4 linked regions of the Alligator mississippiensis genome follow. The protein of the gene in region 2 purifies or fractionates together with the protein of the main gene of each other region. This does not show direct contact. Links are inferred from orthologs where the notes say so. Each region holds a gene or a part of one and is shown on either strand. Other genes may lie near its edges. The genes, in order: SRPK1, U2AF2, U2SURP and SRSF1.

Evidence for each region.
Region 1: the proteins of U2AF2 (region 2) and SRPK1 purify together in Homo sapiens (affinity purification with mass spectrometry; 3 studies listed by BioGRID and IntAct, counting the BioPlex papers as one, with this or other methods). This does not show direct contact. The link is inferred for Alligator mississippiensis from reciprocal best matches to the Homo sapiens genes U2AF2 and SRPK1.
Region 3: the proteins of U2AF2 (region 2) and U2SURP purify together in Homo sapiens (affinity purification with mass spectrometry; 3 studies listed by BioGRID and IntAct, counting the BioPlex papers as one, with this or other methods). This does not show direct contact. The link is inferred for Alligator mississippiensis from reciprocal best matches to the Homo sapiens genes U2AF2 and U2SURP.
Region 4: the proteins of U2AF2 (region 2) and SRSF1 purify together in Homo sapiens (affinity purification with mass spectrometry; 4 studies listed by BioGRID and IntAct, counting the BioPlex papers as one, with this or other methods). This does not show direct contact. The link is inferred for Alligator mississippiensis from reciprocal best matches to the Homo sapiens genes U2AF2 and SRSF1.

What each region holds. Positions count from the first base shown.
Region 1 is NC_081837.1:36,208,731-36,216,243, forward strand, and holds the start of SRPK1 (SRSF protein kinase 1), read left to right. Parts: upstream 1-4,397; 5' UTR 4,398-4,400; coding exon 4,401-4,506; intron 4,507-4,596; coding exon 4,597-4,657; intron 4,658-5,713; coding exon 5,714-5,806; intron 5,807-7,513. UniProt on the Homo sapiens protein: Serine/arginine-rich protein-specific kinase which specifically phosphorylates its substrates at serine residues located in regions rich in arginine/serine dipeptides, known as RS domains and is involved in the phosphorylation of SR splicing factors and the regulation of splicing.
Region 2 is NC_081828.1:75,066,091-75,073,810, forward strand, and holds the start of U2AF2 (splicing factor U2AF 65 kDa subunit), read left to right. Parts: upstream 1-4,596; 5' UTR 4,597-4,864; coding exon 4,865-4,913; intron 4,914-6,600; coding exon 6,601-6,736; intron 6,737-7,720. Other genes in the region: CCDC106 (coiled-coil domain-containing protein 106), read left to right, coding at 528-776. UniProt on the Homo sapiens protein: Plays a role in pre-mRNA splicing and 3'-end processing. By recruiting PRPF19 and the PRP19C/Prp19 complex/NTC/Nineteen complex to the RNA polymerase II C-terminal domain (CTD), and thereby pre-mRNA, may couple transcription to splicing.
Region 3 is NC_081830.1:56,731,501-56,739,401, forward strand, and holds the start of U2SURP (U2 snRNP-associated SURP motif-containing protein), read left to right. Parts: upstream 1-4,846; 5' UTR 4,847-4,898; coding exon 4,899-4,943; intron 4,944-7,901.
Region 4 is NC_081837.1:6,054,300-6,061,440, forward strand, and holds the start of SRSF1 (serine/arginine-rich splicing factor 1), read left to right. Parts: upstream 1-4,033; 5' UTR 4,034-4,156; coding exon 4,157-4,350; intron 4,351-4,733; coding exon 4,734-4,918; intron 4,919-5,194; coding exon 5,195-5,367; intron 5,368-5,640; coding exon 5,641-5,835; 3' UTR 5,836-7,141. UniProt on the Homo sapiens protein: Plays a role in preventing exon skipping, ensuring the accuracy of splicing and regulating alternative splicing.

The sequences.
Region 1 (7,513 bases), on a different chromosome or scaffold from region 2:
TCAGCTTCAAAATCATCCTCCAGTTGTTCTTGTAACAGAGCCAAAAACTCGGCCTCCCTTGGTTCCAGCACTTCTAGGTATATGCCGTCTGGGGAACAGTAGATGACACAGCCCAATTTACACAACAAATCCTTTTCCAAAAGATTTACAGGGGTAGAGGGGCTAAGCAAAAAGGCATGTGTCTCAGAAATGGGACCGATAGAGACAGAAAGGGGGTTGGAAACAGGGTGGGGTATAGGGTGTCCGCTAATGCCAACAGCATTAACAATTTTTTTCAGAAAGAAGTATGTTAGAGAAATCAGAGGCTTTTAAAGTGTAGAGGGAAGCTCCTGTGTCTACCAGGCAAGATATAATCCTGCCGTTTACAGAACAATTAAGAAAAGGACTAGATTGGTCAAGTGAAATAAGTGGGGCAATGATGTCATCCTTCAGGCTGTCCTATGCTTGGGTAGGGAAAGGAGGAGAATAACCTGAAGGGGGAGCTGACAGGCTTGGTTTGTTTTCTGATTCAGATGGGGCCGGATTTTCAGCTAAGGCTGGATTGATACAAAAGTCTAATACGTCTTCCAGAGGTTCAGTTAGTGGGGGTACCCCTTTCAGTATTGGGTATAATGGACTGCAGTTTGAATTTAGGGGAGCGGCCAATTTCTCCTGTGTTTCCTTCAATTGTTGTTTAAAATTTTTTCCTGTGAGTCTTTCAGGCTCTTGGTCTGAGACTCAGTGCGTCTTTTTGACATCTCTTCATACCAATCGAAAAATACGTTCCACTGGCATTGAGGAGTTTTGGATTCACGGGACTCTAACGTCCCTTTTAAGTGCACTATTTTTTCTAGATTGAATGTGCCTTCCTCAGGGAACTGCTTGGAAGGATCATCCCTGGTATACCAGTACTATTTATCCAGGTACTTGCAAGTCTCGGGAGAATAATGTGTGTACATATAGTACGCCGGAGTTCCCTTAGAGGGGACTGGCACTTGCTTTGACTGTCCTGTACCCATTTCACAATCACACAGGGAAAGACAAGACAAGGGAATGGCTTATTAAGGAAGTCCGTGCCGATCCGAACTTCAGCCTGCAATGCTGCCGAGGTGAGTTCTGGATTTGGCAACGGCTCATAAACAGACCGTTTATCTACACAGTAGAATAAGGGTGGGGGAACAACAAAAGGAGTCTGCTAAAGTCACAGAAACCTGCTTGTAGGCCCATCTGTTGACTGAGGCTACATACCTTTTCGTAGCCCCGTCTGATGACTGAGGCTACATACCTTCAGGCAGCTGATCTATAGCGGCTCATGAATGGAGGGGGGGAACACAAGACACAGAGCAAAACAAGAGGGTGAGGGACCAGTGAAAAGTTCACTGGGGAGGAAGAAAGGGTTGATTTTGTCTCTCAACCTTGGCTCCCAGTGACTATTCTTTCACCACGCACCCTTGCATTCGAGTTGCGCCGGTCATCGTCCAAACCGGGCTCACGTACGTCTCGGGGCGGCTGCACGTGGTTTCAGAATTTGCCCTGGACCAATTCCAAATCACCATTCAATCAGGGTCACAATCTTATTTCCATTACCCACTCAGACTTCCTAAAGCCCAGTGTTGTGCTGGATGCAAGTGCTTGTGCAACAGATTCTCCCTACCACTTATGCGCGCTTTCCAGAGACAGACAGAATTTTACCGGATTAGTGTGACCGGTCTTGGTTCTACACTGACCTGTAACAAAGGTTCAAATCCAGCTACCCAACATGAGCAGGGAGCCTATGAGCAGTCCTCCTCCGACACCCCAACAGAGATTTAAAAGGCCTCTTACCTTTATTGGTGGTGCTGGGGTTCGATGGGGAATGGCTCACGGTCCTCCGAACACATCGTTGGCTGTGGATCCGAGTCACGGCACCATTTAATTGTCGTGGAAAAAACACGCTGTAGAATTTGGAATCAGGTCAGGTGGAAACTTTATTTCGATAACTATCGGAAAGAGACCGTTAAAGGGAAGATTCCCCCTGGCTCTCTGCCTTACAGCAAGGGCAATTAACCTTTTATAGATTCAAGACAAAGGGTTTCCTAAACTAGCTTTTCCCACCTTAGGGCTATCTGTTTTGTGTCCTTCAAGACAGCTTTAGTGGTCATCTTCCTCTTATCTAAGGAATTTCTCTCTCTCCCCCCATGAGGCCTCAGCCATTCTTTGCTTCCACATGGGTATCCACACACCCTCCTCACCAGGCTAGCCCAGGTGGGGGGGGGGAGTGCCAGTTTAGTCGCTGACAACCATACCAGGGAACAGGCTGTACTGGTTTACATGGTACCAGATAGCCAACCAAGAGAGACCTGGCCTAACAGGGAACAAGCAACAGGTTACAAAAATCTTATAACCATATTCCACCCATACCACAGCATAGCCAAAGATGCTCATACAGGATCTCAGAGGAGTATATAACAACCATTACTAAATCCAGAAAATGTATTCAGCACTAAAAACTGAAATTCCTAAATAGCTCAGTGGCTGATTAATACCTAGAGCCAAAGTGGACCTTTGCCCATTACAACCATCAACATGGCTTGACCATTCAGCCCCCTGGGACTCTAATAGCTGTACCAGTAGGTGCCTTGATCTGTTCAAGGAACAAAGTGATAAATCACCTCAAACTATAATTTATTCACAAAACTGAGGAAATGATTTCTATTTCTTTAGGAGGTAAAACACTGGGTACTCTTGACTAGACCATAGGCTAAATCATAAATTATAACAATTGACATGAAATTCAATTGCATAATTTGCAATCCAGAAATTTTAAAATTCTATCACTCTATGCTGCAGTCAGTAGGTAAGTTTGTGATTCAAGTCAGCATTTACTAGTTTTAATCTAGCTGGCTTGGATAACAAATTTATCAGTGAAAGTGTGAGAAAACAGGCTTCAGGATGGGCCAACCTGGCCAGGAACCAGGGGTCACTACTTGGGAGACTAGCCTCTTCTGAGAGTTTTGCTACCATGTCTTCACTGCTATTGCTACTCAGACTAGCTACATTATCAATTGTGGTGCAGAGACACTTGCTCTATTGACCTGTGAGCATGCTTTTGCTTTAAATTAAGGTGATACTGTCAGAACAAAAATCATAATTCCCTTTGCGGTGATGACAATGTGGAGCTTGTATGCTCCCTGGTGCCAGGGAACAGGCGCAATCTGCAGCTTGCATGCTCTGGGCAGGGACATGCAGGCAGTGGCTGTGCCCCAGCTCCTTGCAGCAGGGACAGCGTGGTCCGGAGACAGTGGCACACTCCTGCCTGGCGCATGCAGATTGCCCCAGCTCCAAACCACTGTCACCACAAGGTCCCAACCCAGCTGTGGAGCAGCTCCACACCCTGCTGCGTGCCCTGCCAGCAGGGGCCACACTAGGGAGGGACTTGGGGGCTATAGCCACGCCAAACTTCCCCGTAGCCCCCTTTGGGTTGGGGGTTTGTTTGTTTCTGTGAGGCCTGGCAACACTGTTCTCAACCTGTTTGCCTTCATAGGCCACACTTGCAGCTCTCAACATGTTCTTAGATTCAGACGGGAGAGTTGTATGGGCTGCACCCACACAACTCGCTTCCTGTACCTCCAATTAAAAAATGCTTTAACAGGATGTTACATGGGCTGCAGCAGCACATGCGCAGAGAACCACTGCCCCAAGCTGGTGCCCTGCCCTGCCCTCTGCCCTCGCTGAGCACCTCTCTGGCTCCTGAGGCCAAGGCCCCTCTAGACTCATCCCAAAGGGACCCCCAGGAGCCAGGTGTGGGGAGCAGAGGCAGCCAGGCAGGATCCAGCTGAGGCTGGCTCAGTGTTGCCAACTCTGATGATTTTTGGCATTCTTAAAAGAGTGAAAAACGTAGCTCTTTCCTATATATGTGTGTATGTATTTATGTGTGCATATGTACATATGTGTGTATGTATATATATATAATATACATATGCATTTATAGATATGTGTGTATATATGTATGTGAATGTGTATATATATATATATATATATATAAAAAGAAAGCTAAATTTAAGCCTAGCTACAGACACCGCCCGTTCCCGCGCTGCAGCCCGCGCCCGCGTCCACCCCCGCGAACACGTGGGCCCCTCCCTCCCTGACGTCACAAGGGCGCCCGGCTCCCGCGCGCGTTGCGTGGCGCCTGCGCAGTCCCCGCCCCCAGCGCGGCTTCCCCGGCTCCGACCGCGCATGCGCCGCGCCCCATGGAGCCCAGGGAGGCGGGAGCCGTTCCGCGGTCGCCCCGCCCTCCCCCCGCGAGGGGGCGTGGCCGCACGCGCTCGGCCGAGCCCGAGGGCGGGGCGTCCCTCAGCAGCCCCAGGTCGAGCAGCGGCAGCGCCGAGCCCGAGCCCGCGTGGTGGCGCGCGCAGCGCCGCGCCAAGGTGCCCCGAGCGCGCATGCTCCGTCCGGCGCGGCCCGGCCCCGCGCAGGCGCAGGGGGAGGGCGCAGAGCGCCGGCGCGAGGGGCCGTGGCTACCGGCTCTAGCCGCCATGGAGCGGAAAGGTGAGCGCCGCCCCCCCCTCCCCACAGCCCCCGCGGCCCGGCTCCCCTCCCCCCGCCCTCACCCCCACTCCCGTCTGTCTCTCCCCGCAGTGCTGGCGCTGCAGGCCCGGAAGAAGCGGACCAAGGCCAAGAAGGACAAGGCCCAGAGGAAGTGAGTGTCCCCGGCCGCACGTGCCTCCGCGCCCCCCGGGGGGTGAGGGGGGCCCGCGGGTTGCCACCTCCTGCCAGCGCCGGGGTGGGGGGCTTTGCTTGGGGCCCGCTGTGCCTGCCATCCCCGCGCTGCGCCCGCCTGTCGTGGGCCCGCCTGGCCGCCGCGTCCCCGTGGGTGCGGTGTGGCCCAGCTCCCTGTCGCGGCCTCTCCCCCGGCTCGGGGTTTGCCAGCGGTAAGGTGAGAAGATGGATCCTAGCTTGCGCTCAGCCGCTCTTTCTGCACTAAATTTTTCTGCTCTGCTCCTCTCCGCCCCCGTTATCTCTTTTATTAAGTTCAAAGGGTGTCCGAAATAAAATCTAGCCAGCTTTACGGTGGATGGTCCCACCTATGGAGAGCAGCGCTTGTCCAACCCGTTAGTCTGCGGTTCAAAAAGAATAAAAAATGAATAACTGATTCGTCTGATTTGCTGCAGAATAACGTTCGCTCTCCGTTAATAGGTCAGAGCCGCTGGCGAGGGTCTGGTGGTTTTGGCTATAGACTTAATACATTTCGTAGACATGAGGGGCTGGAAGGGACCTCGAGAGAGTGTCGGGTCCAGCCCCCCTGCAGGGGCAGGAAGTCTGCAGGGATCAAATTTGCCAGTCTTGAGGGGAGTTCGCAAAGTGGACGGCACAAAACGGCTGGAGGGCCGTGGAGGTGTAATGCATCTGGAAGAATGTACTGCTTTCTAAAGCTCTTTGTGGACATACCGCAAAGGTTTTGTTATAAGGTAGTATTCCTCTGTCTTTATTTCTGAATGAAGAGTCAGATCGGGGCGCATAGCTGGGATTTCTGTGTATTTGCCTGGCTTTTCGGTCAACTGCATGGGGAATAATCTCAACTCCAGTATTTATGAATGTAGTCCAGGACTTCTGTTTGTAAAGACTACAGTCCATGCGAGTCATAAAGCTTTTATACAGTGACTTAAAGCTGGTGGCTCTGTAAAAATCCCTTCTAACGAACTAGCTAGAGGAGGGCATTGGCGGTCAACATTGTTTAGCTGTTTGCTATTTTCAGGTGTGTCACTGACTGCTGTATGACTTCTGGCAAGTCCCTTCATCTCCAGGCTACTGATGCTCAATCTGGTCCTGATGTTCACCTGCCTCACAGGCATGTTTAAAAACGTTTTAAAGTTACATATTTCTTTAACTCTGTTTCTAGCGTTTCTGAAAAATTGGTGAAAGATTTTGTGTTCATTCTCGTTCCACCTTTGGCTGCCAAGAGAGTGTGGTCAGTTTTGCTTTCTGCTGCTTAGACAGTAGCATTGTACAATGTGTTATTTAAATATAAACTTGTTCTAGTTATTCTTCTAAACTTAAGTTTATTGGAACTTTGAAATAATTTTTTGATACAACCAGAATTGTCTGAAGTGCCCTTTCAAACGTCTTGTTGTGATCCTTGATCCTTTGATAAAAGGCTGTATATAAGTGCAAAGTAATTAATTTTGAGTAATTGGGGAAATTTTGTCAGTATTGAAACAAGATTCGTTATGATAAATGTATAACTACAGAACATGTTTCAGATGGCTGTTCAGTACCCAACTCAGTGCAGTTAGTTTAAAAAAGAATGAGTTAATGTTTTATTTTCAGATCTACAGCAGCTTTTTAGTCCTGCACTTGATCTTGCGATGCAGTAGGTGTTTATTACTATTTAAAATTGTTTTTTCTTGTTGCCCTGTGAACGGCTTTCAAAAACAAGTTGAAACTCACTGTATAGGGAGACCCAATGAAACTGATGGTGGATAAAGAGGATGAAAAATAAGACAACTTTCATCTTTCAGTTATAGTAATCTTAAGTGCTGCTTATGGGAATAGGGTGTATTTTAAGAAAACTTTAAGCATTGTGACTCAAGTTGCCAAGCCAATAAGCCAACTTAGTTAAAACTAAATATTAATTGTAAAAGCAAGGGCATTGATATTGTCTTTACGGACAGATTTAAATAGCTTTCTTCTGTGTCCCGCCCCCCCCCCCCGCCCCCCCCCATGTCCGACAAATTCCTGTTTGTGACATAAGCAGTGGGGGGGGGCAGGGAGAGTGCTTATCTGAAGGTAATCTGCTGTTGAAAGAGGAATGGCAAGGACTCTGCTGTATGGAGGTGAAGCACCTGTACCTGCCTTCATTCCCTAATATCTGGAAAAGTGGTCTTTCTCTTTGTGGGTAGATGGAGAAGATTCATAGATTACATATAGAGTCGAAAGGGACCTTGGAGGATCATAGTGTCCAACCCCCTGCCCCAGGCAGGAAAAGGACCGAGGTCAGAAGACAACATGCTAGTCAGTTAAGTGCTGAGCTGTGGTCAGCTTGGAAAATTGCATTATTGGAGGCTACCAGAAGGCAGGGGCACTGTATTAAAAACTCTAAACACTTAAATGAGTACATTTTAAAGCAGATGAGCAAACCAAATGTTCTCTTGGTATTTCCTTAATTGTGAGAGCAAATAAAAAAAATACTGCTCTTTAAATGTTAAAAGAACAGTAAGCACCTGGCATGCAGACTGCTGCAGTGCATGTTGTTGCCAGAAGATAATGCAATACAGTATTTTTCTTTTTTTTTTTTTCTTTTTTACTCTAGGTGGATAGCATGGAGGATTCCTCCAACAAGTATATCCCAAATGATGATAAATGAGTTTAAAAATTTCAAGAGTGGTATTATTAATCTTAAGCGATTTGGCTTTGTGGAGAATCTTATTTTTAGAACGTGATCTTAACAAGAATCTTACAATTCAGAAATTCATAATGGCTCTGCAGATGTTTCTAATAAGGGCTCAGAATGTATTCTGTGTTTTCACATGGGAGTATAGGGAGGGGAGCTACAAAT
Region 2 (7,720 bases):
CCCCCTGGCACCCCAAGCCTCTCCAGTGCCATGTGCCCCATTGCTGCCCCTGGCACTCTAGCATGATGGTCCCTGACACCTCCTACTGCCATGCAGTAGGACCTTTCTACCCCACTGCTTTCTCTACCAGCTGCAACCACTCCCTCTGAACTCCCACTGCCCTGCCCCCACCTGGCTGCCATTTGCCACCCACTTCAGGTGCTGAAAGGAAATGCCACTATAACCCTCCCCGCCCTGCCCCTCCCATCATCCTCATGGCATGTCTTTACCTTTACTTCTTCCCTGAATTTCTGTCCCAGGACGCACAGTGTAGGGACTCCAGTTCACGTCCTGCCCCTGTCCCTTCTCTGCTGGGTGGAGCACATTGAGGGAGCCAGGACTTCTGGGTTCTATTCTGGCTCATGAAAAGGAGTGGGGTCCAGTGGGTAAGAGCAGGTTGGTGAATGGAAGGACTCTTGGTTCTCCTTACCCACCCACCCCTCCTTGCTATGGCCTTGGGCCACTGTTGCTTCTCTTTGACCACACAGGACTCTCTACTGCCCCCAGCGATGAAGGAGCCTTCGGCAGAGCATGTGACTGGCAAAAGCATGGGGACCCCTGTAGCTTTTATGCATGATCCCACCACCCTCAACCTTAGTGGTTCACCTGCTGCTCCAGGTAGGAGCGTCCAGTTTAGGCAGGGTCAGCTTGTGTGCTCACTTTTTGAGCTGGGGTGTGTCCAGGCAGAAGTGTTGGGGAGGGGACTGTGGTTGGGGAGGAGATGGTTGAGGCTATAGGGAATCTGTTCTTTAGGTGACGGCTTCCATGAGGGCACTACCTGGCTCAGAGGGTGGGGAATGGGGTTAGGAGCCTTCTCTTCCAGGGAGAGTTGGCCCTTATCCAGCCTGGGGGAGATGGATGGACAAAGGCTGCTTAAGGGATGGGGGTAGGGCAGGGCCTGTCCCCTCTAGCCACATTGCTCCAGCTGGTCAGTTTCCTTTGGAGATGTCAGGCCAGGAGCCTTCTGACCCTGACCACAGTAGCCACAGCCCTTTTCCCAGTGAGGCCTCTTGAGTTTCCTGCCCTTCTACTGCCTGTTTTTCCAGCAGCACCAACAGCCTTGGTTGTCTGCTAGGTGGAGAGCACCAACCCCTGCAGGGAGCAGTGGTTCTTGTGTTTGCTGACCTGTCCGCACCCCCCAACCCAGGATCTCTCCCTACACCCTGCCTGGCCCCACTCCAGGGGCATTGTATTTAACTCCCTCTTCTCCTTGACTGGGCATGACCCCCCCCCCTTCCCCCAACAGCAGCGTAGAGCTGCCAAGTGTGTGCGTGTGCACATGTGTGCGTGTGCAAGGAGGTGTGTGAAGCCGCTTGGCAGACCACCCCTTTTTACTTGGTGTAACAGACTCTTTTCCACTGTGCCTGTTATTTCATGCCCTCTCTCTATGTTTAAAAAAAAGAAAGGAAAAAAACACTACAAAAATAATCAATTTATTAATAGAATTTAAATTAAAAAAATTTGGAATAAGCAAGGCTGAAGTCCCAATTCATTCCCAAAACAAAAGCCACAGCTGCGTCTGGGATGGGGTGTGTGAGCCAATTTGTATGGGAGCCCTTTGCTTGACCCTGAGATGGACCTGCTTCTGGGGTGAGGTGTGTTAGGGAATGGCTATACAAAGACCTCTCAACCAGCACTGAGATGCACCCTTTTCTGGTAGCTCCCACTGTCATCCCTTCCTACCCTCTCTTTGGATTGCCTATGTATTTCTACTTCCTCCCTTAATTTTTTTTCTGTCTTGAGAAAGTCAATGGCTGCAAGTCTTCCCTGTCCCATCTTAACTGTTAGACTTGACACACTGGGGGAGCCAGGGCTCCTGTGTTGTGTCTCAGTTTTGGGAGGGGAGTGGGATCAGTGTGGCTGGGAGTCGAGGCTCAGTAAGCTAAGCAGTAATGCGCACACAGCTGTCATTGCAGAGCCAGGCATGGCTCTCACCCTCATTCTCTGCAGATTATCCACCCAACAGTCCACATGAAAGCCCACCTTGCAGCCCCATCCCACTCTTGCTTAAGGCTTTGTGCATCATGCTTTATCAGCACGCAGGTGTAGTCAGAGGTGGACCCCTCGTGCTGTGTGTAGCACACCTTTGTTTTGGGTGGGCATGTATGTGCATGCACAGAGCCATTCCCTCATGCTACAACCATCGCGTGCTTACATGGGCGCAGTCCTCCCTGCCCCTGTAATGTACATATCCCAACATGAACACACGCTCCCTTACACTACAGCTACCCATGTGCTGCTGTTTCTGACAGAGGATGCACTACTGGCATTAGAAGGACATTCGAATCAAGACATGCTTAATCCTGAATTACACCCAGCCTCTCTACCTTGTGTTGCAAGTGGGTTCCATGTGTATATACAGCATATCCAGGAGCCATCAGCCACTGTATGGGGATCTGCATGTTTCTTGGATGATGGGTATGCACTTGGTGCTGGACAAACTCATATAAAAACATGACTGATGTCCCCTTCAGTAAAAGAAAAGTGGGGATTTGCTACCCCATGAAAAACGAAAGCTTAAGTGGGATAATGCAATACCTTTCATTGCAGGCAAAGCCACTGTGTATTACCTCCCACTTGCCATGGGCTAAGAGTGGAGGCAGGGGGCAGTGCTTCCTGGCCAAGCCCCAACCCACAACCACCTTCTATGCCTAAGGCCCCATGCTCCCTCTCCAGTGCCAGCAGGAAGAATTATTGCCTGTCAAGGGCAAGTATTATCCTAGCAGAGCAGACCATTCAGCAGCCAGCAGAAAAAGCTGTGGGAGTTGGAGCTAGACAAATCCTGAGGAAAGAGAGGCAATGATGTTGATGAGTCACCAGGGAAACCCACTGAGGGAAAGAAGCAGTGAATCACCCTGGGAACCAATCATGGGGAAGAGGTGGATTCTTCAAACCTTGCTGACTTTGCACCCATCTAGGAAAGGCTCAGCCAGGCACAAGACACTGGGCTCAGAGCATGGGATGTTGAATACTCAGGCCAGGGCCTCCATGAACCTGAAGCCTTTACCCCTCTCACCTCAGCAAAACCTCTCTCATCCCTAAGACAGTTGACTACACCCCACAGCATCCTCCTCACCTGCTTCAGTTGCTATGGATGTGTGGATCTTGCTAACCTGCAAGGGTTCAGAGGGCCCTTAGGTCACATGGTTACCCCATCAATGTCTGGCATTGCTGTTTGGGAAACAGGACAGACTTGCCCCCTACCCCATTGCTGACATGTTCTTCCCCTGCCCCACCATCGCATGTCTGGCCTTGGGGATGGCTGTTGCTCATGCAACTACAGCCCTCCAGGGATGGGGGAAAAAAGGAGATAGCAACTTGGTTTTAGGCCTGGCAGGTTTTAGGCCCAGATCTTCCTATCACTGACAACTGCATCCTGCAAACCTGGGCATAAACCCATCAGACCCTACCCAAAAGCTAGCTTTGTTTCCCTCCTGTTGTGAAGCTGCATCCGTTTGTTAGCAATCTTCTCCTGACGTTGCCTTCAGTTATCCATGGCCATCCCTCTTTTCTGTGCCAGTAGACTCCTGTATGTTAATCAGCTGTCCTCTGAGTATTTTGGCCCCATGTTGTATTTGCAGAACACCATTCAATACCTGCAATGCAATCCATGAGGGCTCTTGCACAGGACACAGACAAATGGAAGGGGGGGCATGAGGCAGGATAAGTGTGTCACCCTGGGGATCAGGAAACCTTCTTGAGGTGACTGATAAAGGGCCCTTGAGACAAAATTGTGTGTCATTATTGGAAGGGAGCTGCTGTTTCCAGGTCTTGTGGTTTGGGGAGAACAGCTACGGAGCTGGGTCCTCTGGCACATCCAGGCAGATATGCACCAAGAAAAGCACATTAAAAAATCTGATTTTTAAAATGGATTGGGTGATATGAAGAAAGTAGGGTGGCTTGTTGATTCTGGAGGTGCTGTGGCCAACCCCCCTGCCACGCTTCCTTGTTCTGCTGGCTGAGATTTGGGCTTGGTGATTTTTAGCACATTTTTCAGCAGAGAAGAGCAGTACTGTGGGGAAGGCCCCGCACTTCACTGGTGCTGCCACCTCCCCGCAGCGGGGAGCCTGCCCTGTGGCAGTAACAAGCCCTGCTGCTTTCCGCGCAGGACAGATCACAGCTGAGCCACGCGTCCCGCGGCCAAGAGCGGGTTCCCCCCCGTGCCAGGCAGGGACTGATTTACATGAGCGGCCGTGGCGGTCCGGGAGCCGGCGGGGCGGATAGGCCCCGGCACACGACAGCCTACAGGGCGGGTGCTGTTTCCCTGCCGCGCTGGGCCAGGCCTGGGCGGGCGCCCTTCGGAGGGCTATGGGTGCAGGGTGCCGGCGCGGACTAGCGGCTGGCGAACACGAGGACCGGGGCTGGAGCGGCTCCAGGCCCCAGCAACGGCCTATAGCGTAGTACGTCACCGCGGGGCGGTAGGCTGTCCCGCCCCCCGACCCGGAAGTGGTTTCTCTTGAGCCAGCCACCGCCCCTGCTCCGCGTTGCTTTCATTCTCCTCGCGCGAGGCGCGAGCGGGGGCGGAAGGGGCCGAGCGCTGCCGGGGAGGTTCCGGAAAGTGCCGAGGCTGCGCCGGGCCGGCTGGGAGCCGAGCGGGTTTCCGGGAGGAGCCGAAGCGGGGCCGGAAATCGCCGAGCGTTGCCCGAGGGCGCCCGAGCGGAGCCGGGGGCAGCCGAGCGCGCGGCGGAGGTTGCCGAGCCAGAGGGGAAGGCGCCGCCGCGGCCTGCAGGACGAGCTGGGCCAAGCGAGCGGAGCGGGCCGAGTCGGAGCACACCGCGCCGGGGCCGAGCGTAGCGGAGCACACTTGGGGCCGGGCCGGGCCGCCATGTCCGACTTCGACGAGTTCGAGCGGCAGCTCAACGAGAACAAGCAAGGTGCGGCCGCCGCGCAGGGCCGGGCCGGAACCCTGCTCCCCCTGGCCGCGGGCTGCCCCACTCCCTCGCGCTCCCAGCCCGAGGCCTCGTTACGCAGGATCCCCCTCCCCCGCTGCGCGGGGCCGCCCCCCGAGGCCGGGCCGGAGCGGGGCGCACGTGGCCGGGCCGCGGCAGCCGCTGGGGCGCGGGGCGGCTTTGTTTCCCACCCGTGCTGCGCGGTCCCGGGCACCGGGCCTGGCCGCGTGGAGCCCGCGCTCCGGCCCCGTTGCGCCTGCGGGCCCTGGGGCGGCCCCACGCGGCAGCGGCCGGACGGCGGGCTCGGCGCCTCGCGGCCCCGCGCTGTCAGCGCCGGGGAGCGGCGTGCGGCCCGACCCCTGCCGTGCCGCCACGCGGGGTGCGAAGCTGCCTGGCTCGCTAGGCCGCGGCCCTCAAGTTTTCCCCTGGGGAGGACAAGGCAGTAAAGATAAATGCTCACCCCTTGCCAGGTGAGGCTGGGAAGGCAGCAGGTGACCCGGGCTCCCTCCCAGCTCTGCGGGGGAGCGGAGTCATGTCCGTCTCCTCCCCTCCCCTCCCCAGTACTAGATCCCTGGGTGGGCTCTTAAAATCCTAGATAAAAGTGACTGGAAGGGATCTGCTGAGGCTGCCTTGTACCCCCCACCCCCCATGTGGCCTAGCCATTGCAGGGTGGGCGGCAGGGGCAACCTTTGTACCCAGGCACTACCTGTGGCGCATCCTGACCCGCTGAGCTATGTGCAGATCTGTGCTGAGGCAGGGCTGCTTGTAGGGGCTTCCTTCTACCACCGAGGACTGTATTGATCCAGAGCTGGGCTACTTTCTGTGCTAGAGGAGGTAGTGTTGTGTTGGAAGCCCCAGGCAGCCAGCTGCTTGTATCCAAGCCACGGGTCCTGCTGGGATGGGTTGTGTTGGGCATCTTTCCCCAGATCTCTCAGACCAGTTCTCAAGAAGCAGTGGCAGGACAGCCCTTGTGTAGCAGCACAGGCTGGGGGGCACAGCTGCCACACTGGGTCTCCCTCTGTCTGCCTGGGTAGAAGTGCAAGCATGAGAGGGAGCCAGGACTCCTGGGTCCTGTCCCTGGTTCTGAGTTGTGAAGTTTAGACTTCCCATGCCCCAGGACAGTGTTCATGCACACATCATGCTGCCTCCCGAGCATATGCAGTGTTGCTCTTGGTGGTGCAGATGGCTGTTGCCTGGCTGCCTCAGCACAGGAAGGACTTTACATGGTTACACCAGAGGAGTAGAGTAGGGGTGTGAGCAGCAACAGAGGATAGCAGCTGAGGGAGGGGCTGCCAGGGTGGGAGGCGAGATGAAGGTTTTGCCTTCAGGTGAAGGGAGGAGAAGGCTTTCCCAGTTGTGCCCTGGCACAGTTGGAGGGGTCTTGATTTCACCCCATCCCTCCTAGCCTGCTGTCCTAAACTAAGATTAGCAGCTGTAACACATGGAGGACCAGTTCCTAGCCTGCACTGCTCCTTCATGTGGAGTTCTACATACTGGGAGCTGGAGACCTTACCAGTGGTGTGGACCATAGTACACTAGGAGACATGGCCCCTCACAGGTTGTGCTATATATGTAGGTTGGCTTGAGGGCAGTGATTGTGTGTTGCTGTGTGGTCCCTAACTCCACTCCCTGTTCCGAAACCCCTGTGCTAACCCTACCTCTTTCCCCACAGAACGTGACAAAGAGAACCGCCACCGTAAGCGCAGTCATAGCCGCTCCCGGAGCCGTGACCGCAAGCGCCGCAGCCGCAGCAGAGACAGGCGCAACAGAGACCAACGCAGCGTCTCACGGGACCGTCGGCGACGCAGGTACATGTGGGTGGGGGCTGTATGGTCCCTTCCTGGGAGACCCCTCCCTGCCCTGGACAGGTCTCCCTCCTACACTAGCCTGCAGACCTCACCTATGGCTCATTTGGGCATAACTCGCTCCACCCTGAGGGGTTGCTGCATGCTGGGGCTGCCTTGGAAGAGCTGTGTCTCTGAGCAAGGCCTTATGGTTAAAGCAGAGGCTAGGGGCTAGGATTCCTGGGTCCTATCCCTTGCTATGTGAAAGGAGTATGACAAAAGATGTGGAAGTGTGTGTGTGGGTGGGGTAGGAGGGTGGGGGACCCATAGGGGCTAGTCTTGCTTGTGCTGCTTATAAAGCAAGTCCTTCCACCTCTGTGCTTCAATTTCCTTCCCTGTAAAACGGGGTTCTTTTGCCCTCTGGAGAGTCAGGTGATTGTGCCTTTGCTGCTGGTTTGCCCTAGGACCTGCTGTCAGTGGGCAGGGAGAGGATAAGCCACTTTACCTCTCTGCAAAGGTAGGAGGATGTGATTTAGCCAGTCTCTCCCTAGCCCCCAGGAATATAGGTGTTGGGCTCCTCACTGCAGCACCACTGAAACAGTCTGGGAGATGTTGGCACTGTCTCTGTGTGTTACTGGGCATGGGGCAGTACCTCCGTGCCATCCTTTTTAGTGTTGGTGGGGGATTCTGAGAACCAGCTCTTCCTTAATTCATCTGGAGGAATGAATTAGTGGGGGAAAGGGAAATGGAAATGGATCTTGGACCCCAGTTCAAAGGGACAGCTCAGATTGTTATCATAGAGCAGAGTGCATCTTCCAAAGTTGTGCCAAGCTGAGTCAAAACCTGGATCAGCCAGACTGGTCTGGTTAAAAGTCGCTTTGCTTGGTGATGAATTGAGTATTGCTGTTTTGGTGCCTACCTTGTCCCATTGGCCCATGGAGTCTCTCTGGGTAGACAGGGCCAGGGACCCAGATGTCAAAACTGAATCCCTAAAAACAGGGAAGCAGA
Region 3 (7,901 bases), on a different chromosome or scaffold from region 2:
ATTTCTTTACTGTCCGAGCCCCCAAGGTCTGGAACAGCCTGCCACCGGAGGTGGTTCAAGTGCCTTCATTGAACACCTTCAAGATGAAACTGGATGCTTATCTTGCTGGGATCCTATGACCCCAGCTGACTTCTTGCCCTTTGGGCAGGGGACTGGACTCGATGATCTTCCGAGGTCCCTTCCAGCCCTAATGTCTATGAAATCTATGAAACAGACAGGGGCTCTTGCTTTGACGTTCAATTACCTACTGATTCATCCATACCCGCATTCACTCAGGGGACCAGCCCAATACAGCAATACAATTCCAGTTATTACAATTCCAGTGCATTCTTATAATAATAATTTTAGTAATACAAGGTATGACTTACTCTAAAGAATACATTTGTTAAAAGTTAAAAGGTAGAAAATATAAAATACAAAATGCCAGGGCAAAGATGAGACATGAAATATAAAAATGTACTGTGAGAAATATAGAAAAATGCAAGATGAGGTAGCGAGGATCAACGGCCACTGGGGTTAGATGCACTCATGCAGACTGATTTAGCATAAAACTTTAGACAGATATGGGAAGTTTGCTTTGGGAAATAGGTCTTAATCAAAGGAAAAATGTGTTTACCAGGATATATTTACAGTCATGCTTTCAGTGCACCTTGGCTTTTCTTGTCTCTTACAGGCTTTGCTTTGAAGTGGATATTTTAGTTCTTTTGTTTTCTTTAGTGACACAGCTCAACTGATACATAGATGTAGTCTGTAGGTTTCTCCTACAGAAAGCCACTTCAGCTTTCTGGCTTGCTCGGAGCCTTGCCACACCCATGCAATGAATGTGCTAGGTCTCTGCCAATACTTAGAAGGAAAAAGAAATGCACAAAAAGGGAAAGAGGGTGCAGGCAAGAAGGGGCTTCTGTTATATCAATGCCCAGAAGGGTAGTGTACAAAGGGGGCTCCCTGTTACAAGGCTTTTAATTTACTATCTGCAATTTTGCTGTCGTCTTATTTTCCAATCATAGAAAATATACCTGTTAATAATTTTACACAATTTGATATTTTAATAATAATTATCTATGGAAATGCCATTTGTTAACAGTTGACTTTTACTGGAGGTAGAGGAAAATCTTCATTTAATCCATATAAATGGAGGGAAAGGGCAAAAGTAATGCATGTGTATTAATTTGGGGTTGGAGAGGGACTGAGAAAGGAGGAGAATGGAGCAGAGAATACATTTGAAAGTCAATCTGAAAGGTTCTTTCAGGTCAGAAACATAGCAGCTTTTTTCTGGTTACAAGGTCACATGGGGATGATGCAAGTAACAGTCTCCAAAATGTAGTGGTAGAGAACCTATGGCAGTAGCTTCCAAAGGTTGCCTACCCTCTATACTGTTGACGTCAGTCTTCTCAAAATCTTGTCATCCTTGAACTTTGTCTGACTGCCCTCATCCATAATACAATGTTAACACCCATCACAGGCCATACCATAATTAACAATAAATCCTTTGGCATAACGGTCCTGGCAATACATTACAGGCTTCCCACCTCTGCCTTCAGGAAGGGGCACTACTTTTGGCTCACATTTAATTTTATCCTTACATATTAGAACACAGTATATCAAGAAAACACCTAATGATGATGATGATGTAAGTGTAACCATCTCTATTGACTTAAATAGGACTTAAAAATGTGATTCAGTTTTTTACTGAGCTGGGGTTTATATCATGAAGAGCAGTTAGTAACCGTCTAAACCCGTGGCTCCTCCTGCTGCAGCGGCTGGGGCCTTCGATGCCTGTATGGGGCGTTTGAACCTCGGCAGGCCCCGGCTGAGGAGGGGGGGAGCTTGTTGCTTCTCCCCCTGCCACACACACATCATGTTGGGGGTGCGGGATGTGTACGGGCTGCCTGGGGTCAGCCAGGCCCCGTGGAAGGGCTCCTGGAGATGAGGAGCTTCCTCTTCTAGCCGCAGATCTCGCCATGTCTTGGCTTGGCTGAGTGCTCGGTTTCTGCAGAGCCTTGTAGGGCCTCATTTAAAGATCTCTTTTTTTCCCCCCCAAACTTGTCGATTATGTGGCTGCAGCTCTCACCAGCACTGGGCTGGAAACTGCTCCTCGGTTTTGTGCTGCATTGTCACTCTGCTGTCTGTGATGGTTCTTTTCCCAGGGAAGCCTAACTTAAATGTTCTTTATTTCCATGAGAGAGAGAGAGACTGTTGTGGAGCCGCAAGGATTAGACCTAATTCTGTATGGAGGTGGCTGGGCAGTACCTCTCCCCATCTTCCAGATCTTCCAGGCTTATAGCTTATACCCAAAGGGTATGTGGCCAAGCAGGGGGTACAGGAGACTCGCCCTTGCTGGGTTATGCCTGCTTTCCCTGCCCCATCCAAGGAAAACACTTAAAAGGTAGCAGTGCTGCAGAAGTGGTCTGCCCAGCTCCCCTCGCAGCCTGGGGCCATGGGAGGAATGCGACGTGGGCACCTGTGGGGGCTTTCTATACCCAAAGGGTAATTAGCCTCCAGTGCAATGTGGAGTAGTAATCTGATATGTTGTCACTAGCACACCTCCTTCAGATGTTGGGCTATGTTCTTCATAAGGTGAAGATTTTTAGCAGCCTTTTTAGTCAACCCCAGAAAGATCCCCAGAGCAGTTATTTAAACTAGAGGTAATAAAGGCATTCATGCAATGTCTCTCCCTCACCTTCTTTGTTTATTCTGGGACTCTCTCATTTCCCTTTTGCTCAGTCCTCTCCTTTCTGTTTATTCTATCCTTTACAATCATCTCAATTTGCTTCCATTTTTCCTCCTACTTTTTGAACCCATATGGTCTTTTTTACCCACTCATGGCACCACCTACCTGATTTTCTTTCCACACTTTCCTATAGATTTCTCTCCTAAATCTCTTGTTGCATCTGGCTTTCAAAAAAGTACTTCCAGAATTCTCATGTCATGTTCCAGCCTCAGCTCAGTGTCCTACATCCATTCTGACAGCATTCTGACTCACTGGGGATCTCACCTCACAGTGCTATACGTATTATAGGCAGAAAGAGCTGCTAAGTGCCAGTTTCAGGAAACAGTACCCCGTCTCAAAGCAATTATGTCAAGCTAGTTTGGGGACCCACATGGAAACCAGCTCCCAGCACTGGAAACTAAATCAGGAAGGAATCTATCAGTTGGTAAAAGTCCTACAGTATAACTTACTGCCTTTCTTTAGTTTGTAACACCACTACCAGCACCAGAAGCCTATACTCCTGGGGCCTGATCCTCTAGTCTTGTATGCTAGTACCAAAATTATAGCATTACTCCTCCAATATATAAGTATATAAATATATAAAGCCTCATATCTGGGGACCCACAGTGATTCTAATGTATGATGTAGCCTGTGCTGAAAGGCCAACCAATAGATTCAGCAACTATTCAGATCCACTGGTCAGTATCTAATGTGTCCAGGGAGCATCCTGAGAGCTGCCACTGTAGATCATAGTTCTGCTGGGACTGTATTATTACTCTGTGGTCTACAATGATGTTTCAGTTCCTTGCAGTGATTTATACAAAGTTATTTTATTTGCAAGGTGCTTAGATTTGGTCCTTACTTGATGTAGTATATGGCATAAGTGTCACAAGGTGGAGATCTCAGTGGGGAAGCAGTCTCATATTACTGTCTATAGAGTCTTATACTGTCTATACTGTCTCATAATTCTTTGTTTGGGTGACAAAGAAAAAAATTGCCATCAATAATCCATCAGTATAGGATTCCTTTTGCCTCTGGTGCCAAATCAGCACCACAGCTGACTTTCCCTTCTAGGAGGCATGTTTTTGCCATAGAGGAACATCAGAATACTGATCTGGTAGCAGAGCTGTGGCCTCTCTGGATTTAACCCTCATGTAATTCTATAGCAAAAGAACTGTTCCAGAGCAGAACACTCTTAAATTAAGATTCAGCCTGGAGGTTTTATAAAGAAATTAAAAAGCTTTGAAATGAGACAGGCCAGGACTATAAAACAAAGCTGGAGCTAAGAATGGGAACAAGGCAGCTACGACAGCCTGACCTGCCTAGCTCTGTTGATGAAGCATTACAAAAAAACCCCATGGTTGAGATCTGACAGACTGCTTAAAAAAAAAAAATCCTTAAATTGCAGACCTGGGCATGTTGCCCAGGATCCCTGGCTTGGGATCCCTCATGGTTTGGGAGCAGAGATGCCCACAGAGCAGCTCAAAGGCCCCCCAGGTGCCCACGTCACATTCCTCCCGTGGCCCCGGGCTGGGAGGGGAGCTGGGCAGGCCGCTTCTGCAGCACTGCTGCCTTTTAAGTGTTTTCCTTGGATGTGACAGTCGCACCTGCTGTGGTAAACTAGATGTATGGTGCAGGGAAAGCAGGTGCTTAACCCCAGCCCTGGGGGGCAAGTCTCCTGTACCCGCTGCTGGGCCACATCTCTTGAGCCCTGGACCCTGCCAGCTGGGGGGGGAGGTGGGGAAACACGGGGACTCCCTCATGCACAGTGCCAGATGAACCCTTTTGCAGTCCCTGGGCAAACAAACTCATGGACCCTACTTAATACGGTATATGTATATTATTTATTTATATTATATTTATACTGTATAAATGTTTTTTTCCCACTCAATAATTATAATATGTAAAATGATCACAACTGGGCCGCTTCTTAGGGCCCTAGGCATGTGCCTAGTTTGCCTATGCGTTACCGCGGGGCTGCGAAAGGAGCAGCGCCCTACAGAACCGCAGAGCCTGCGGCCGCCGGGCGTGACAGGGCCGCAGCGCCGGCCCCGCCTCCCCGATCGCTAGCTCGGTCATCGGCTCGCCGCCCCTCCCCCCAGGCGGGAGGCTTCCTCGCTCTCCTCTTCAATCGGTGAAGTCGGCGCTCGATTCCGGCCGCCAGGGCTGGCCGAGGGAGAGAGCCAAGATGGCGGACAGGGCGCCAGGCGGTTCGCAGAAAGGCAGCGGGAAGGTGAGGCCGCCCTCAGGGGCGCGCACGCGGCACCGTCGCTCGGGGCCCGCGGCAGGGGGTGGGCCGGGCCGGGCCGGGCCGTGGTAGTGGCAAGTGCCGGCCGGAGCAAGCATGGCGCGGGGAGGCGGGTGCGCAGGCTGCGCGGCCTGCTCTGGCCCCCTTCCCCGGCCCTGCTGCTGCCGGGCGCGCCGGGGCCTACTGGAGGCCGGTGCCCGCGGCTCTTCCCGCTGCAGCGGCTGGGGCCTTCGATGCCCGTGTGGGGCGTTTGAACCTCGGCAGGCCCCGGCTGAGGAGGGGGGGGAGCTTGTCGCTTCTCCCCCCGCCACTCACGCGTCGTGCTGGGAGCGCGCGGCGCGCACGGGCTGCCCGGGGTTGGCCGGGCCCTGTGGAAGGGCTCTTGGAGACGAGGAGCCTCCTCTTCTAGCCGCAGATCTCGCCATGCCTTGGCTTGGCTGAGTGCTCGGTCTCTGCAGAGCCTTGTAGGGCTTCATTTAAAGATCTCTTCCCCCCCAAACTCGTCAATTATGTGTCTGCAGCTCTGGCCAGCACTGGGCTGGAAACTGCTCCTCGGTTTTGTGCTGCATTGTCACTCTGCTCTCTGTGATGGTTCTTTTCCCAGGGAAGCCTAACTTAAATGTTCTTTATTTCCATGAGAGAGAGAGACTGTTGTGGAGCCGCAAGGATTAGACCTAGTTCTGTATGGAGGTGGCTGGGCAGTACCTCTCCCCATCTTCCAGATCTTCCAGTCTTATGGTTCCAGGGGTCGTTTTTTTCCCTGGCTCCTTCAGTTAGCCCGAGTTGTACAGCAGTGTCTGCACAGATCCTGTTCCCCTGTGGTGCTCTGTTACATCTGCAGGGTTGATGCTGCAGCCTTTTCAGCTACAGCTCTAGGAATGCTTGGAGTTGATATTTTTGTGGTAGAAAGAACCACTATCTTATTGTAAATATTATGTCTTCAGCACTGCAAACACTTATGCAGGTTCTTAACTTGATTCATATATGGAGCCCCATTTCCCATTTTGGAAATATTTATACCTGCCTAGGGATAATTTTGTGACTGAGAGCTTTAAACCAGTAGTTACTTGAGATGAATATTCCTAATTTGGTTTCCTTTTTATACCTGGCTGAAGGCAAGCCTCAATTGTGCTGTATGTATGAGATTAGATAAGGATGATCAAGAGCATAGAGAAGTTTTGTTTTTTTTAATAAGCAAAGATTAAATGTGCTTGCACTTTTCAGCGTAGACAAAAGATGACTGAGTGGATATGATAAAGGTTCATAAAATAAAATGAGTGGCATGAAGGAAGTAAATAAGGATATATTCATGAGTGGATTGGGTGGGGGAAGGAGTACAGTCACATCCCCATTTGATTCCTGATCCACTGAAAGTTTAAAACAAACTGCCTGGTAGGGACAGCTGAATTTCTATTCAGGTAGAGTGAGAGAGTCTATAGATTTCATAGCTTATTATTATCTACTTGATTTCTGCCAATCTTTAGTCCCTTGACCCATTTAGTATCCACAGTGTACGGCAGGGGTGGGAAAATGTGGCCCACCTGGCCATTCTATCTGGACCGAGGGGGCCCCTGAAAAAATTAGAAAATTAATATTTATCTGCCCCTGGCTGCCTGTCATACAGCCCTTGGTGGTTTGCCAATACTCAGTAAGCGGCCGTCCGCCTGAAATAATTGCCCACTCCCTGGTGTAGGGTATACTGTATTCATAGGAGCAGTGAGGGGATTGAGTAGCATAGGCCTCTGTGGGGCATGAGGGGGGATTGTGGGATCTGATGGTTTTGGGGTTTGATAGGATGGGGCTGAATATGGAAATATGTGGGATAATGGGGGACAGAGTAGAGGCAGGGGGAATTTGAGGTGGCAGGTGGAGCATATAAAGGGCAGTGTGGGACACTTTGGGGCCATGGTGGAGTGTCTGGGGGACTTGTGTAGGAGTACAGGGAGGAGTTCCATTTGATCAGAGTGTAACAGGTATACCTACTACCCAGCACCAGATGCCTGCCCAATTTGGATCTGGTAGTCAGCCCCTCAGTGATTCAGTTGCATTTGTTTTTACTTGGAAATTGGAAAAAAATATATGCTGTTTTATGGGATGATGTACCATATCACTTGCACTCTCCCTGCCCCCCCCCCCCCCCTTCAAAATCTGAGATCCACCCACGGATGTATTATTTATAGAGGTGCACCAATACATCGATCCCGTATTGGATCAGCACTGATATAAAGAAAATTGAGTGTATCGGAAATTGGCCTGATGAGGCCAATAATTTGGCTGATAAATGCCCATACATGCATGTAGCCACAGCGCAGCCTGGCAGCATGGAGAGCTGTGTGCAGCTGTTAAGTCTGTTGTGGTGCAAGGGGAGGGGAGGGAAGGGGCATAGGGGTGCAGATCAGTGGCCCCTGCAGTGAGGGAGGGAGTGGGGCTGGGGCAAGTGCTGCAGTGTGGGTGTGGGACGGAGCTGCGGCTCGTCCGGGGCTTGAGTGGGGGGGGGTGGCTCCTGTCATTGCGTGCACCCCAGGAGGGTGGGGGGGAGTGCGTGCCCCCAGATCTGCATGGGGTGTGGGTGGGTTGGGCTGCAGCTGCAGGCTGGGGCCAGGACTGCACTGGGTTCTTCCCTTTGAGGAGGGGTGGGGGTTGGACCAGGGTTGTGCTTGGGGTGGGTGGTGGTGGCACTGGGAGGGTGCTGTGGTGAATTTTGGGAGGGATACAGCCCCCGCATAATGCTCTTCCCAGCGCTGCTGCTGCTTCCTGCCCCAAATGCAGCCCTGGCCCCAGCCTGAAGCTGCAGCCCACCCCGCCTGTGCAGATCTGAGGGCACATGCCCCTCCTGTCCACTCCCAGGGTGTGCACAGCGGTGGGAGCCACTCCTCTCTGCGCCGTCCGGATGAGCTGTGGCTCCATCCTGTGCTTGCCCTGCCCTGGCTGGATTGCCCAGCC
Region 4 (7,141 bases), on a different chromosome or scaffold from region 2:
AGGGTCAGAAGGGACCTTGTAGATCTTCAAGTCTGACCCCCTGCCTGGGCAGGAGGAAAACTGGGCTCAAATGACCCCAGCCAGGTAGGCATCAAGCCTCTTCTTAAAGACCCCCAGGGTAGGAGCCAGGACCACCTCCCTTGGAAGTTGGTTCCAGATCCTAGCCGCCCTGTGAAGTAGTTCTTACGGATGTCTAATCTATACCTACTCTCCAACAACTTGTGGCCATTATTCCTTGTTCTCCTGGGGGGCACTAGGGGAAACAAGGTCTCCCCCAAACCCTTCTGGTCCCCCCTAGTGAGTTTATAGACGGTCACCAGGTCCCCCCCCAGCCTTCTCTTGTGAAGGCTGAACAGGTTCAGGTCCCGTAGCCTCTCATTGTAGGGTCTGCCCTGCTGTCCCCGGATCATGCGGGTGGCCCTCCTCTGGACCCTCTCAATGTTGTCCACATCCCTCTTGAAGTGGGGTGCCCAGAACTGGACACAGTACTCAAGCTGTGGCCTGACCAGTGTCGCGTAGAGGGGGAGGATCACTTCCTGGGCCCTACCTGAGATGCACGATAAGGTCCGGTTAGCCCTGCCAACCGTGACCTTGCATTGTCGGCCCATGTTCATCTTGGAGTCAATAATGACTCCAAGATCCCTTTCTGCCTCCGTGCTCTCAAGAAGGGAGTTTCCCATCTCATAAGTGTGCTGCTGGTTACTACTGCCCAAGTGCAGCACCCTGCACTTGTCCGTATTGAAACGCATCCTGTTTTTGTTAGCTCAACCCTGCAACCTATCCAGGTCTTGCTGCAGTCTTTCCCTCCCTACTAGCGTGCCCACCTCACCCCAAATTTTCGTATCATCAACAAATTTAAACAGGTTGCTTTTCACCCCGTCATCCAAATCACTGATAAAGACATTGAACAGTGCAGGCCCAAGGACCGAGCCCTGGGGGACCACACTGCCTACTTCCCCCCAGGTTGAATATGACCCATCCACCACCACCCTCTGAGTATGACCCTTCAGCCAATTTGCAATCCATCTGACTGTGTAGGCATCAATGCCACAGTTGCCTAGTTTTTTAATGAGGATGGGGTGGTCGACAGTGTCAAAGGCCTTGCTGAAGTCCAGAAAGACTACATCCACGGTGACACCTGCATCCAGTGCTTTTGTGACCTGATCGTAAAAGGCAATCAGGTTGGTCTGACATGACCTGCCCCTAATGAAACCGTGCTGGTTGCCCTTGAGCATCATCCCCAATGCCGGCCCATCACAGATGTGCTCCTTGATGATCTTCTCAAAGAGTTTCCCCAGGATTGAGGTAAGACTGATGGGCCTATAGTTGCCTGGGTCCTCCCTCCTCCCTTTTTTAAAGATGGGGACCACATTGGCTATCTTCCAATCATCTGGCACCTGGTCTGAGCACCACGAGTACTCGTAAAGCCGTGCCAAGGGCCCTGCAATAACCCTTGCTAGCTCCCTCAACACCCTGGGGTGGACAGCATCTGGACCTGCTGATTTGAACACGTGACTATACTGATTAAAAATCAAAAAGGTATCCTAAGTCAAATACTTAGATGGATAGGAAAGCTGTGTGCAAACCAAACCCAAGTCCCTCTGGCACACAAGTCATGTCTACACTAACTTTGCCCACTCTAGGCACCCCAGACCCCAAAGTGCAGCCATGTAGCTGCCTTGAAGCCAAGCTAAGAGCATGCCCAGCACCTCCTCAGGCTCCCTGTCTCAGGGATGCTTACTCAGGCACTGTTGTAGGATGGGATTTGGTGCGTGCCTAATGGAAAGGGCATGCTTCGTAGCTGATTACCCAGGCCCAACACAGAGGATGGGTAGATATGCCCTCAGGAACTCAAGTTCTACTGACTTCAGGAACTAAGACCCACATGTTGGTCAGTCGGGTGCCTAATTACCCTTGATGACCTGTGCCTAACTGCTAAACTTACTTCTGAAAATTAGTCTTGGGTTCTTAATGCATGATCCAGGCTCTTTTCTAAATTCCCCTTTTACGTTCAGAAGCATTTGTATTCAGGTCCACCGTTAAAAACCAGGGAGGGAATGACACACCAGAAAAATATACTAAAATGTATGCAAAAACCATCATCCAAATATCCACAAGCTGTACGATATATATTTTTTGCTTCTTCCCATTTCCTTCCCAATCTTTTCTCCCTTCCCCACAATTCCTTATGGAGCTTTCACATTATGCACCAACCTGACATGGTAAAAGATGCGTATAACAGCACACATGGCACATAATGAATGCAGAATGGAAGATGTCCCTTAAGAGAAACAGACCTTGTCAATATATTGGCGACTGCAATTAAATAGGCATTTAAAAAAAATAAATTGCTGGGACCAAATCAGGTGCCTTGAAAAGCTCTTGCAGAAATAAGGGACGTAAAAATAAAGGTCCCTCGGCTCTCCTAAACAATCAAGCAAACCTGTGTCTAGTTAGGAACGGATGAGCGCATCACATAAATTGTATAGTTTGCTTTTCATTGACTTAGGTGTCAGTTCCCTGTCAGGCTGATAGTTTAAGATGGAGTGACTGTATTGGCATGTAGATAAAGACAGGCAGCTTGGAAAGATACTTCCCTTAGATATACCATTTCCCCCATTTTGATCTAACCAAAATGTAGTGAACGCTTACGCTGGGAAAGAAGCTGAACAGACACTGCTCAAACCAGGAATAGGAGTACAGCTACTCCTTGCTTAACGTCGTAGTTACGTTCTTGACAAATGCGACTTTACATGAAACCATGTTAAGTGAATCCAGTTACGTCACAGTAGCTACCTACTAGCAGGTGGCAGCTGAATAACATTATAACCGAACATTGCACCACTTCAAACGAGTACGTTCTCTAACAGAGCAGCGATGTAATAACGAAACTACATTAACTGGGAAGACGTTAATTGAGGAGCACCTGTATAAGCAGCGCTATGAAATGTACACTTTGGTTTCTGCAGTAACCAGTCACCTAGAGACAGATCATTCTGCTCATTACCCCTCTTATTTCAGAGGGAAATTTACCTTCCTCTGCAAAAGAAACTCAGCGGTGAAGGGGGTGGCAAGCGGCAACCACCAGCAGCATCAGCAGCGCTTTTTGCAGGGGGTGCACCGCCGATCTCCGGGGGTGCGCGTGCCCCCGCGTGCCCCCCATGTGTCGCCAGTGAGCAGGGCACGAAAGGCACGGTGCGGCGGTCGAGATGGGTTTAGGAGAGCAAGGAAACCAGCACCCCAAGGCAACGAGCAGGGTGCACAAGGCACGGACGCGGTGCTGGAAATCGGCAGGGATCCCCTTCCCCTGCACAAATTTAATCTGGGAGGTTTCCAGAGCACCAACATGCTTGCATATATCTATTATTTGACTCCCATTATTTGACCCCCTGCCTTAGGAACTGGGAATAAGCAACCAACTTCAGCCTCATGGCAATGCAACAGGATTGCTGGCTTGGGCAGACTTCTCTCATGCCCAGAGCCGCTGCTGGATGTGGGGTCAGGAGGGAAATGCACCCCTTGCTCAGACTGAGGGGGGAACGTGGAGGCTGTTGCTTATCCCTGCCCCTCCCCCAGGCTCCCTTAGGGCACATAAAGCAGCCAGGCCCCCGCGCGGTGCATTGTGGGCCACGCCCCTCCTTGGCGCCAAGCTCCCCCGCCCTTTGCCCGCGCGTTGCATTATGGGCCCCCCTCCCCTCGGAGCTGAGCCGGATCTTCTTCACCGGGCCTCCTCACCGGATGTGACGGCTTCCGCCTCGCGAAGGGGCAAAGGAGTGCTTTTCACGCCCCAAAGGCCGGCTCTAGGCCGCACAATCCGCGGCGCGCGGCGCTCCGCCGAGCTCCACGGTAGCATTTGTCTAGGCGAAGCAATTGAAGGCAGGGACTACTTTCCCTGCAGGCGGCGCATGCGCGGTGCGAGCGGAGCGACACCGCGACGCAGTCCGAACGGGGTGAAGGAGTGCTTCGACCGGCGGCGGGATCCTTGCGCGCAGCAACACCGCGAGGGAGCGGCGGGCGCCATTTTGCAGCCGTGTTTGCAGCCGTCGCGCGCTCGCTCCTCTCGTCCGCTCCGTGCCCGGCGCTCGCCCGCTCGCTACCTTTTCTCTCTCTCTCTGCGCTCCGGCCCGCGCCCGCCGCAGCCATTGCTGACCTTGCCATGTCCGGAGGCGGCGTGATCCGCGGCCCCGCCGGTAACAACGACTGCCGCATTTACGTGGGCAACCTGCCGCCCGACATCCGCACCAAGGACATCGAGGACGTCTTTTACAAGTATGGCGCCATCCGCGACATCGACCTCAAGAACCGCCGCGGCGGCCCGCCCTTCGCCTTCGTCGAGTTCGAGGACCCGCGGTGAGGGCCGGGACCGCCCCCCCCCGCTATACCGCCCCCCCCTGCACGTGGCCTGGGACCCCCCCTACATGGTGCCTGGGACCCCCTCACAACCCCCCCCCCACGTGGTGCTTCGGACCCCCTTACTAAATTGTGCCCCTCCCCCCTGCATGGGGGCTGTTTCTGCCTGGACCCCCCCCAACCATGAGGTTGTTCCTGTTTTATTGCCCCCCCCCCAGGCATGGGGGGAGTTCTCACTTTGTTGCCCCCCCCCCAAGCATGGGGATGTTGCCATTTGCCCCCCCCCCCAATTGGGGCGTGGCCGGCGGGAAAGCAGTGTGGGGGGGGAACAAAGGGCGGGGGCGCGGCTGGGCAGGCCCCGCTCACCCCGCCCCGCTTCGCAGGGACGCGGAGGACGCGGTGTACGGACGGGACGGGTACGATTACGACGGGTATCGCCTGCGCGTGGAGTTCCCGCGGAGCGGCCGAGGCACCGGCAGAGGCGGTGGTGGCGGCGGAGGAGGCGGAGCCCCGCGGGGCAGGTACGGGCCCCCGTCCCGGCGCTCCGAGTACAGAGTCATCGTCTCGGGTAAGATCCCGCCCGTTCCCCGGCGGCCGTACGAGGGCGGGGCGAGGGGCGGCTTTCCCCCCGGGGACGCTGTTGAGCCACGCGGGATTGCGTTCCCCCGAGGAGCTTCGTTACGCAGCCCTCGCTTATTATTTATAGCACTCGAAAGCCTCCCCCGGGGGGTAATTTATTCAAATCACCTAGGCACCTGCTGTGCCCGGCCGCACGTAACGGCGCGGCTGGGTCATAAACAACCCCGTGGACGTCCCGGGTAATTTGCGACCTGTTTTTGTTCAGGACTGCCTCCAAGTGGGAGTTGGCAGGATTTGAAGGATCACATGCGTGAAGCAGGTGATGTATGTTATGCTGATGTTTTCCGAGATGGCACTGGTGTCGTGGAGTTTGTGCGGAAAGAAGATATGACCTACGCGGTGCGAAAACTGGATAACACTAAGTTTAGATCTCATGAGGTAGGTTCCCTGCTTATTTTGGGGCCAGAATTGGATACACAGGGCTTAACAATGGGAGCTGAAGGTAAGGAAGTGAAGGCTCAACTGTGTCAGCTGGCGCCCATAGAAAAAATGGAGTCTGATGTGGTTTATTGTAAGGCAGTCCTCGTTAGCACAAGAGAAACAGAGCAGCTTTTATTTAAAAGACTGTGTCTTACTTAATGTACTCAGCATGCCTGAAAAGACAGCTGAAAAGCTTAGACCCTTCAATCGAAAGTTGTGTCTATTTAATAGGGAGAAACTGCCTACATCCGTGTTAAAGTTGATGGCCCAAGAAGCCCAAGCTATGGAAGATCTCGGTCACGCAGCCGTAGTCGTAGCAGGAGCCGTAGTCGAAGCAACAGCAGAAGCCGCAGTTATTCCCCAAGAAGAAGCAGAGGATCTCCACGCTACTCTCCCCGTCACAGCAGATCTCGTTCTCGTACATAAATGACCATTAGCTATGATCTTTTTGTAGAACCCATGTTGTACACAATTTTCTTTACTCAGTACAGTCTTTTCATTTTTTTTTTTTAATTCAGACTGTTTTATTCAAATTGGCTAAAGTGTTGAATTGCATTCTTGTGTAAAATCCCTAGTGAGTATTTGCTCCTTAACATCAACATTCCCCCCTCATGTCTTTGGTAAATTGTATTTTAATTGATGTCATAGTCAGGATTGTTTAAATTTAGTTCTAGTAAATACCCACACTCTTCAGACTGTGGTATTGCTGTGTAAATGTCTCAGTGTTCAGCTATGGTTTATACGAGCTGGGGATGTTGGGATGTTTGTGGCTAACTTGTCTCTTCTGGGGGATCTTATATTTTACCTTGCCTTTTCATGTGTCTTTCTGTAGACATATCTGAAGAGATGGATTAAGAATGCTTTGGATTAAAGGATTGTGGAGCACATGTCAATCATTTTAGGATTGTCAAAAGGAGGATTGAGGAGGATCAGATCAATAATGGAGGCAATGGTATGACTCCAAGTGCTATTGTCACAGATGAAATTGGCAGTATTGACCTTATACTGAATGACAATGGTTAATTGAGTACTTACATCTACTTGTAACTTTTTCAGGCATGTTTTAGTTATTGTAGACTACAATTGCTCTGTTCCTTAAAACCCTGTTAGCAATTGTGGCAAAAACTACTTGCTTTTGTAACTTTATTCCATTTTACTTTTTTTAAAAGAACTTCCGGGGGTGGGCGTAGCGGTTCACTTTGTCATGCAGCATTTGGTTACAAGTGTTAACGTTGCGTAGTGTTTGTACACTTTGTAGATTCAGGGTATCTTCAAATCAGAGTATAATATCAATACTGCTAAAATCTGCATGTCCTCTGTGTGACTGATATAGCGTTGCTACTTCATTTTTTTTTTTAAGTATCAGAATGAAAGCAAAAATGAAACTAGTTGGGAAGAATTCCTTAAATCTCAACCCTTCCCCTTCAGACTAATGCACAATTGACTCACTGATATGTTTTGAAAGCAGTTAATTTTGTTACCCTCCAGATGGGAGTACTAGCTTTAGTTTAGACATACAGTAGGTGGATAGCTTTAGCAGTCAACTTTTCCAATTTCATAAACATTTTTTTTTACAACCACAAAACCTGTAATTCACCATGCAAGCAATGACTTATGTTGGCGCTACCAGTTAACATATGTAAATATTACAGTATTTCCTCCAAATAATTAACATTTCTAAAATTTTATCTGAACATCACCATTCAAAAGTTTGTTTTGGGGAATTGATAGT